Linked DNA regions of Caenorhabditis elegans. The protein of the gene in region 1 purifies or fractionates together with the protein of each later gene. This does not show direct contact. Each region holds a gene or a part of one and is shown in the gene's direction. Other genes may lie near its edges.

The links.
Region 2: the proteins of C16A3.5 (region 1) and ucr-2.2 fractionate together in Caenorhabditis elegans (co-fractionation; one large-scale study listed by BioGRID). This does not show direct contact.

Annotation. Positions count from the first base shown.
Region 1 is NC_003281.10:6,378,960-6,382,068, forward strand, and holds C16A3.5 (NADH dehydrogenase [ubiquinone] 1 beta subcomplex subunit 9), read left to right. Parts: upstream 1-1,812; 5' UTR 1,813-1,831; coding exon 1,832-1,882; intron 1,883-1,993; coding exon 1,994-2,434; 3' UTR 2,435-2,558; downstream 2,559-3,109. Other genes in the region: nfx-1 (Transcriptional repressor NF-X1 homolog), read left to right, coding at 1-50; C16A3.6 (Protein MAK16 homolog), read left to right, coding at 503-891, 944-1,066, 1,116-1,575; znf-622 (C2H2-type domain-containing protein), read left to right, coding at 2,687-2,869, 2,926-3,109.
Region 2 is NC_003284.9:15,172,370-15,178,704, forward strand, and holds ucr-2.2 (Peptidase M16 N-terminal domain-containing protein), read left to right. Parts: upstream 1-1,534; 5' UTR 1,535-1,535; coding exon 1,536-1,670; intron 1,671-1,719; coding exon 1,720-1,866; intron 1,867-2,128; coding exon 2,129-2,340; intron 2,341-2,393; coding exon 2,394-2,475; intron 2,476-2,522; coding exon 2,523-2,657; intron 2,658-2,662; exon of another isoform or gene 2,663-2,737; coding exon of another isoform or gene 2,738-3,222; intron 3,223-3,292; coding exon of another isoform or gene 3,293-4,094; exon of another isoform or gene 4,095-4,112; intron 4,113-4,483; coding exon 4,484-4,623; intron 4,624-4,674; coding exon 4,675-4,865; intron 4,866-5,381; coding exon 5,382-5,608; 3' UTR 5,609-5,776; downstream 5,777-6,335. Other genes in the region: ocr-3 (Ion transport domain-containing protein), read left to right, coding at 42-158, 215-346, 1,091-1,204; col-41 (Nematode cuticle collagen N-terminal domain-containing protein), read right to left, coding at 2,738-3,222, 3,293-4,094; pkhm-2 (PH domain-containing protein), read right to left, coding at 6,298-6,335.

The DNA of each region.
Region 1 (3,109 bases):
CTATTGAATCTCCAGCGAAAGAGGAGCCGGTTGCTGAATTACTAGAATAAAACGTATTAGATTTTTTACATGCACTATCACATCAATTTTCGATGTTACTATTCATATCCTCAATTGTACGGTGTAACAGTTTGTTTCAAGTACATTTCCATTGTTTTGAATACTTTAAAATACGGTTTGCTTGTTTTAACTAATGAATAAATATTCTCTGGTGTTTATATTATTTTAATTGCGTTCCTGTGGCCCAGTTATTTCCTGTGAAAATATTTGTTTGAGACTTTAAATTTTAATTGAAAGATGAAAATAGAGAGAAGGCGCCTTAAGGCACGCGGGACTGACAAAGTGTGCAAACACCGCCACGCGAAGACGCACACTTTCGGTTCTTTCACAATTTTTTTGCCCGTTCTTCTCAATCAATTCTTGCTTCTTTTTCCTTTTATCGAAGTAATTCTCGTGTGAAAAACAACTCAAAAAATTCGAATTTTTCAGAAACTGGGTAAAAATGCAGTGCGACGATGTGACTTGGAACATTCTCAACAAGGGACAATGCGCCTACAAAGCGTGGACAAAGCCAAAAATGTTCTGTAAAAATGAAATGAATTTGACTGGTTTGTGCAACAGAGCTTCGTGTCCATTGGCTAACTCACAGTATGCAACAGTTCGTGAGGAGAACGGAGTATGTTACTTGTACGCAAAAGTTGTCGAACGATCTCACTATCCACGTCGTTTATGGGAAAAGACAAAGTTGTCAAAGGATATGAACAAAGCATTGGAACAAATCAGTGATCAACTTCTTCATTGGAGTGAATATGTTAGACACAAGTGCAAAGCTCGTCTCATCCGAATTCATCAATATTTGATCAGAATGCGTAAAATGGCAGTCCGTGGAAAGTAAGTTTAAACTTATAGAAACTGAATTTTGCATAGTATTATTTATTTTCAGCCAGAAGAAACTCATTCCAATTGGACGGAAAGTGGAAAGACGTGAGAAACGTCGTGAAGAGAAGGCACTTGTTGCAGCTAAACTTGATCACGCTATTGAGAAAGAGCTCTTAGCCAGACTTAAGTGAGTTGATATATTAGAAAGTGCACATTTTGAATGAAACAACTTTTAGACAAGGAACATATGGCGATGTTTACAACTTCCGTCAAGAGGCATTCGAACAAATGCTGGAAAACACTGAAAAAGAGTTGGAAGTGGAGCAAGAACTCGAGCAGGACGACGCAGACACGGGTGAGACTCAGTTCGTCGCTGACTTTGATAGTTCCGACGATGAGGATCAGGACATGGAAGACGGAGGTGATGGACATTGGTCACCAGGAGATACTGACAGTGAGAACGAGGATAATTGGCAGCCAGAACAAGAACAAGAGGATTCGGATGAAGATGATGAGGAAGGAGGTGATGAGCCAATGGAAATTGAGGAGCCACCAAAGAAGAAGGTAAAGAAGGAGCCGAAGAAAAAGACTGGGAAGAAAGCTGCTGATGGAAAGAAGAAGAAGCTCAAGAAACGAGCTCATGTTGAGATTGAATACGAAGAAGAAACGGAGCCACGACAAAGGGTCAAGGCATAAAACTTCGCATTCCATTTTGTCTGTTATCGTTATTTTTGTTCTTTTCTTTTATTCGCCCTCTTCCAATTGTGTTGTTGTTATTTGCTTTTTAATTTTTAACTCTTTTACCCAAAAATTCAAATGAAAATTGTTACTTTTCCTTGTTTACTAAAAATTAAACTGATTGGTTTTTTTTCCAATTTTATTTTATTGTTCCAATCACATATTTTTGTACTCTATAAAACCCATTGTTTTCAGAGAAGACCGGGAGGAAGCCATGGATTCGCCGGCGTGGATGTTCACGAAGGCGCTGAGCCATAGACAGAAGGTAATTTTTATTTTTGAAAAGCTTTAGTCGTTTGTGAAATTGGTAGCGTTGTTTTTTAATCTGATTGGAGATTTCGTCTGTTTAAAATGTAGCGAATTATTGCATTTTCAGGTCACCCGCCTCTACAAACGCTGTCTTCGCGAAGTTGACAACTGGTATGGAGGAAACAATCTGGAAGTTCGCTTCCAAAAGTGTATTATCCGTGCTCGATTCGACGCTAACGCTGATGAGGTTGACACCCGTAAGAGCCAGATCCTTCTTGCCGACGGATGCCGTCAATTGTGGGAGAAACGTCATTTCAAGCCTTTCCGTTTTGCTCTCGATCCAGGAGGTTCCAGTTATGATCGTGAACGCGAGTCGCCGGATGAGATTGTCGATTCGGATCAATGGACATTGGCTGAACGTGAACAGTTCCCCTACTACTTCAATACTCGTGAGCAGAGAAAGAAGGAGTTGCTGACTCACTGGGCCAAAATCGAAAAAGCTTGGGATGAGGAGATCGCGTCAATTCAAACCCAACTACCAGCTGCTGCCCCAACTGTTTCCAAATAGGCCACTATGAGGAAGTAATGCGATTGATTTTAAGTAGAACGAGCTCACTCGTAGACCGAATAATTTTGTTTTGTTTTTTATGAATTTAACGTCACTGAACAAATAAATATAGCTGTATTTTCATTGTATATTATCATTTATTATTCATCTGTTTAAATGGTTATTGCTGACCATTTGCATATTTTTTCCAATTTATTTAAATTTCTTCTTGTAAGCTTTAAATTAAACATTTTATTACAGAGATCTATCAGAATGGATGGATCTACAGGGTTCACATGTGTAACATGCCGTGTCGTCTTCGAGACAGCCGAGCTGCAGAGAGATCATTACAAAACCGAATGGCATCGGTACAATCTGAAAAGACAAGCTGCTGAGCTTCCAGCTATAGGAATTGAGCTTTTCAATGAGAAAGCTGCATCGTTCAACCCAACAAAGGTAGGGGAAAAGTTTTCTAATGTTCGCTTAATACTTACTCATTATCAATTTTTCAGCCAGTCGTTGCTGCTTCAGTTGAACCATTGTACTGCAAGGCTTGTCGGAAATCAATCAAATCGGAGAATGCAATGACTGATCACGTAGCTAGCAAAAAGCACAAGGAAAATGAGAAGAAGATTGAGGATGATGTGAAGAAAGGTCCAAAGCAACCAAGAAAGAAGCCAGAGAATTTGCCAAAGA
Region 2 (6,335 bases), on another chromosome or scaffold:
TACAAAAAAAGCTCTTTTCAGGCTTACAAGCTCGTTTTAAGGTATTTTTCATCCTCTTCGAGTTAATTGTGACTGTTATGCTTCTGAATCTACTAATTGCTATGATGACTCGTACTTATGAGAAAATTGCCGAAACTGAGAAAGAATGGAAGCGTCAGGTGATTTTTTTATACTTCAACATTTTATTTTCAAGTTTCACCATTTTACTTTCCAGTGGGCGCAAGTAATTTTAATGTTAGAGCAGTCATCTTCAGCCTCGGAACGCCTCCTATCACTTTATCGTTATACTCGGCCAATACGTTCCGATAAACGAAGAAGAGCATTTGTTGTGAAAGTGAAGTCGAATGTAAGTGAATCTATAAATTTTCCCTAATTTATACTAGAATTTGAAAAAAATTAACTTTATTTCTTATTGTACAAATTTGATGGCAAGACTTGGTGATTCCCGAATCCTATTAAAGGTTGTGTAGTCGAATATTTTTAATGCTTTATTAGACTTGAAATTGTCTGAAAACACCGAATTTCATAATGAAACTTCTTGAAAACTTCTCAAAAAAAAGTTATGACGCGTGAAAAAGTGACCTAAAATTAGTTAAATTTTGAAATTTGACCGACTTGCCTATGTCGCAGCGGCTGGAAACAATTTTTTTTTGAAATTACCGTCAAATTTTGAATAAACCGTGTAATTATCTTGTGTTTTCAACTTTATTTAGGTACTTTAAAGTCGATGGAAGGCAAGATTTGGTTTAAAATAATTTAAAAATCTCGCCGTTATTCTAGCGAATTTTGGGCCATTTTGTGAGCCGTCATAACTTTTTTTAAAAAGAAGTTTTCAAGAAGTTTCATTATGAAATTTGGCATTTCCAGACAATTTTGAGTCTAATAAAGCAATAAAAAAATTCGACTACACCACCTTTAATGTCTTCAGAAATATCCTAACTTGGTTTAAGCACATTTTGTTAGTTTTGTAAAAATTATAGGAAAACATAATTTTTGCTGAAACTGAAAAATTTGTAATCAAACTTTTCCTCTCGAAAAAAACCTCACAAAATTTATATCATTTTTTTAGTTTTCAAATATATTTTTTCAGGACCGCCAGCAACCACAACTCAAATTAATTCCACCGCGTGGAAAACCGTCAATCCGCTTGTCAAACAACAGTTCCATTCATGTCTTACATGTTCTATCAAAACATGCTTCGTAAAAACTAAAAAAATTTCAATTATTCGTTTATTAATTTTTGCCGTAATAAAGTGTTCATAGTCCTCGTCGTTTCATGCCATTTGGCCAGTGACGTATGTGCGCACGAAACGCGCAAGCGAGAAGGGATGCGTCAGCAATGAGTCGGGAAAGGCGTCTCTCATTTTTTGGACCTATTTTTGTGAAAAATGAAGTTATTTTTAGTTTTCCATTTAATATTTAAACAAAAAATGAATAAATTTGATAAATTATGCACTTTTTATAACCGTATTGTTCAATTTTACCCAATTTTTGAAAATTATCTAGTTTTTCTTTGAAAATCTAGTTTTTTCAGAATGCTTAGCCGCAACATTGGAGCTGTTCGCGGAGCCCATAAGGCAGCAACGACAAAACCAGTCGAAAAAGTGGCCAAACTTGGAAATGGATTGACCGTTGGAACTATCGACTCTCACAAACCAATTGCACATTTGGTTTTTTTTTAATTTGTTTCTTCTATCCGAAATCATCTTCAAATTTTAGGTTCTTGCCTTCAGAGCTGGAAGTCGCTACGAAAAAGCCAACCAGGCCGGACTCTCTCATACCATCAGAAATTTCGTCGGCAGAGATACCCAGGAATACTTTGGAAACACAGTTGTATGGACGTTGTCACAGACCGGAGGAGTTCTGGTGAGCAAGAAAAAAAAATCGATAAAGTTGAATCTACTGGGCGTTAGAAAAGAACTAAGAATTTTAATGTAAATTTGAAGAAAGATTGCATAATACATTCACAGTTTTTTTTAGAAAAGATTTGTTAGAAAAAAAATTTGGAATTAAGTATTTTGTATCAAAATTTCAGAAAAAATGTGGTCTAATTAACTTGGAGCAAAATTATCAAATTTTCATGAGCATTCCAAAAAGTCTCACAGACATAGCGAGGGTGATGTTTCAGAAATCCTTCACCTCCCGCGATCTTTTCGGAGTCTCCCTCACAATTCCACGCGAAAGCACTTCCGTCGGACTTTCCGTATTGGGACAAGTCGCTGGTAACCCAGGATTCAAGCCATGGGAAGTCGAGGATGTGCTGCCAACTATGCGCGCTGACAACGGATACAGAACCGCTTACGACTTGGTTGTTGACCAGATTCACAAGGCCGCTTACAGGTTTGGCATTGAGAAGCTTTCGAGAATTCATTGAGCAAAACTTTTTTTTTTAGAAATGGAGGACTTGGAAACTCAATCTATGCACCATGCTCTAAAATTGGATCGATCTGCACATCAACTTTGTCCTCATTTGCAGTAAGTTGCTTATTCTTATCTGCAAGTTTTCAATTTTAAAATTTCAGGAGCAGCACTTCGTCACAGGAAACGGAGTATTGTTTGCCACTAATGCTGTTCACGATGACCTTCTTCTCTATGGAGACAATCACGCCCCAATCAGAAGTGGAAACGCTGCGTCCCCATCTTCAAGTGCTTACAAGGTGAGTTCTTGAAAACGAATATTTATTCAGTGGAGTTGGATAACAAAGTCATAAATAATGTCATGAGAAGTGTCACGCATCTACCAACGTCTCTGGTAGCTTCCAGTTTGTGGTGGAGATGGAGCATCGTATCCTCCTGATGGCTGCTCTGGCTTGGCTGGTGGTGGGACGGAATAAGCTGGCTCAGCTGGATAGCTTGGGGATGGGTAGCTCGGAGATGGGTAGCTTGGGGATGGATAGCTTGGAGATGGATAGCTTGGAGACGGGTAGCTTGGTGATGGATGAGCTGGCTCTTGTGGAGCTGGGGATGGGTATCCAGAATCTGGAGTCTCTGGCTCTCTGACTGGTGGCTGTGAAGCTGGTGCTGGACGAGTTGTTGCTGGTGGAGCGCGGGTGGTTGCTGGTGGAGCACGAGTTGCTGGTGGAGCGCGAGTTGCTGGTGGAGCACGAGTTCCTGGAGCAGCAGTGGATCCACGTGGTGGTGGCTGTGGAGCGGATGTTCCAGATGATGGTGGGGTTCTGTCGTCTTGTCTTTGTGGGCATGGGCAGTAGTTGGCATCTTTTCCTGAAACAATTTAAAATGTTTCATCACTGTTTGTTCAAGAAATTCCTAGTAACAACAACAAAAATTTTACCTGGAGCTCCTGGCTTTCCAGCTTGTCCCGGGGTTCCTGGGAAGGCGTCGTGACCAGCGTTTCCTGGAGTTCCTGGTGCTCCTTGTGGTCCCTCCTCTCCGTCCTTTCCTGGCTCTCCATGTTGTCCTGGAAGTCCTGGCTCTCCCAACCATCCTGGCTCTCCTGGCTGTCCAGCTTGTCCTGGGAAGTATGTGGTTCCTGGCTGTCCGTCTGGTCCGTCGGTCCCATCGTATCCCTTTGGTCCTTGTTCTCCTTGATCTCCTGGGGCTCCCTCCTGTCCTGGGGCTCCATCTTCACCGGATGGTCCGGATTGCCCTTGAAGTCCTGGGAATCCTTCTGGTCCAGAGTCTCCATCAGGCCCTGGTGGTCCAGCTGGTCCCTCTGGGCATTTAATGCATCCTCCTGGAATATCGTGAGTGGTTGCAAGAGAGATACCACTGGCTCCACGTCTTCCTTCATCTCCTGGATGTCCTTCGTCTCCACGCTTTCCTGGGTTTCCTGGTGGTCCTGGTGCTCCTGCTGGGCATCCTTGAGAGTTGCTGTCGCAATTGCACATTCCTGGGTACACAAATCTCTTGTTACGGAGGAGGGATGGCACTGGATTGGCAGATTCTCCTGTTGGAGATTGAAGAATCAGGAGACGATCCCAAGTATCATCGGCAAGAACTTTGAACTCATCAACGCGTCCTTCAACTTCGGAACGAAGGTTGTTAATATCTTGAACAATATGTCCAATTGAGCAAAGAGCGGAGAAAACTCCGAGCAAGCAGACGCCTGCCCCAATATAGCCAAGAGTAGACATCGTTGAGAACAATGTTGTGTATTGCTTTGGTGAACACTTTTTTATACATTTTTCTCCGAAAAAACTCGAAAGCCGGCAAGAACTTGCAAGGGCAAGGGGGAGGCTGGGAAAACTTAGAAACTTAGACACGCAACAGATCGGGAAGAACGCGCCGATAAAAAATTACCGGTCCTAGTCGTATGACAGATATCGCAATGCGACGGATATTCAGTATACCTTTGGCATGAAGAGGAAAAAACTTGCTACTATTGTTTCTTTCCCCGAAAAAATGCAATCACTCATTTTGGATTTGGAAATAGAACAGAAAAACTTTGCAAATTTCAATTTCATTATCCACTCCACTGTTTATGTTATCTATACTATCATTTCTCACCTTTTCTGACACCTAGGGAGGAGAAGTGCGCAGAGATGCCGATTCGAAGTACGCGCATGTGATTGTCGCTGGAGAAGGAGCTGCCGGAAACAACACGAAAGCATTGGCCACCCAAGCAGTTCTCCTCACCGCACTTGGAAATTCATCACCAGTCAAGTAATACAAAAAAGGAATTACAATGTTCACACTTGAAATGATTAATTTCAGATTCAACACCGGAACCACTGGAGTCATCGCAAAAGCCGTCGGACAGAATGGATCGGCCAGCGCATTCCAAGCTGTTCATGCGGATAGTGGACTGGCCGGAGTATACCTTGTCGTTGAAGGAAGCCAGGCTAACCAAGCTGTTTCGAATGTAGTTGGAGCATTGAAGTCTTTGAAGGTCGCTGATATTGAAGGTAAGAAATTTTGTTTTTTAGAGTATAAATTTGATAAAATGGGATCACACTATTTTTGTACATCGATATTTCTGAAATTATAAAAAAAAATAAAAATTAAATAAAGATATGCTTCTAGGATGTTCTACAACATTCTATAATAAAATAGTCCAGAAAGCTGCAGAACTTTCCGGGGCAAAACTTTCAAAATTTTCGGAGAAAACTTTTTTCACGACCTAATACTTGACATTTTTGTATGTAGATTTACAATTTGAGCCGCCTTAGAGAAGGGCTTTTGTATAAATATGATTTTTAGAGGCCTATACTGAAAACCCAAAATATAAATTGTGTTCTTGTGGTAGAGTTGAACTTAACTAAACTAGACTAAAGCTAAACTATGCTAACCTTGTCGTAAAATTTAAGCGAAATGGAATATTTCTAGCACAAAACTAATTGCAGATTTTTAGGTTGATGGTAATTTCAAACTACTGTGACGTTACCGACTTAATCGGTTTTTGTATTAATTTCAACTTTCAGCCGTCAAGAAGCAGGCCTTCAACAACGCCTTGAGAGCCTCTGCTCATTCCGACAACTTTGCCATCGAGAGAGCCTCCCAACTCTTCCAGTCCCAAGACAATTACATTCAACAGATTCCAAATGTGTCGGCTAGTGATGTTGAAGTTGCCGCCAAGAAATTGACTACCAAGTTGTCGTTGGCCAGTTATGGAAATGTCTCAGAAGTCCCATATGTTGATACTCTGTGAGCATCTAGTTAAATTAAATGATTTTACTCCAGTAGACGAACGCATTTTGTTATTTTTTGGTCAATTTGTTTTCCGTCTCATATGACTATTTTTTTGCTGTCAATAAAAGGTACTAGACTTTGAAATTTGTTTGTTCAATGAACAAAAAAATAAAGAAATTATTCACGTAATCAAAAACAGACAGAAAAAAAAAGTAAGCTCGAATAAGCTTATACATATACCGAGGGTGAATAAGTGAATTGTAAATGTGAGAGTTAGGCTTTGAAACGTTCGGGAGAAGCGGGAAAGAATGACAACTTAAACGTGTAAAAACATGAAATTCCGTATAATCTAGTTTGGGGTGTGAGCATTGAAATGTGCAGGATAACAACAACAAAAAGGTGGGTTGAAAGAAATCTGGGAAATTAACAGTTATTAGCCGTGACGAACAGAAGCACCGGGGGCTCTGCACAAATGGGCCCGCGATAGACTACAATTAAATGAGACAAGTTCGAAGGAACAGAGTTGAAGGTGGGAAGAGGAGATGACATGAGCTACTGAGCTACTTTATAAGTGTTAAGGCTGAAATGGAAATGAATGTGTATGGGGAAAATTGGGACAAAAAAAGTACAAAAGTACAATGGGTACCCGGACCAGGTAGCGATTATCATGGAGTTAACTCTTGATGAGTAAAGAAATGGAGATGCGAATTAGACTGGCCACAGCGTGTTGGCGGAGCAGCAAGTGT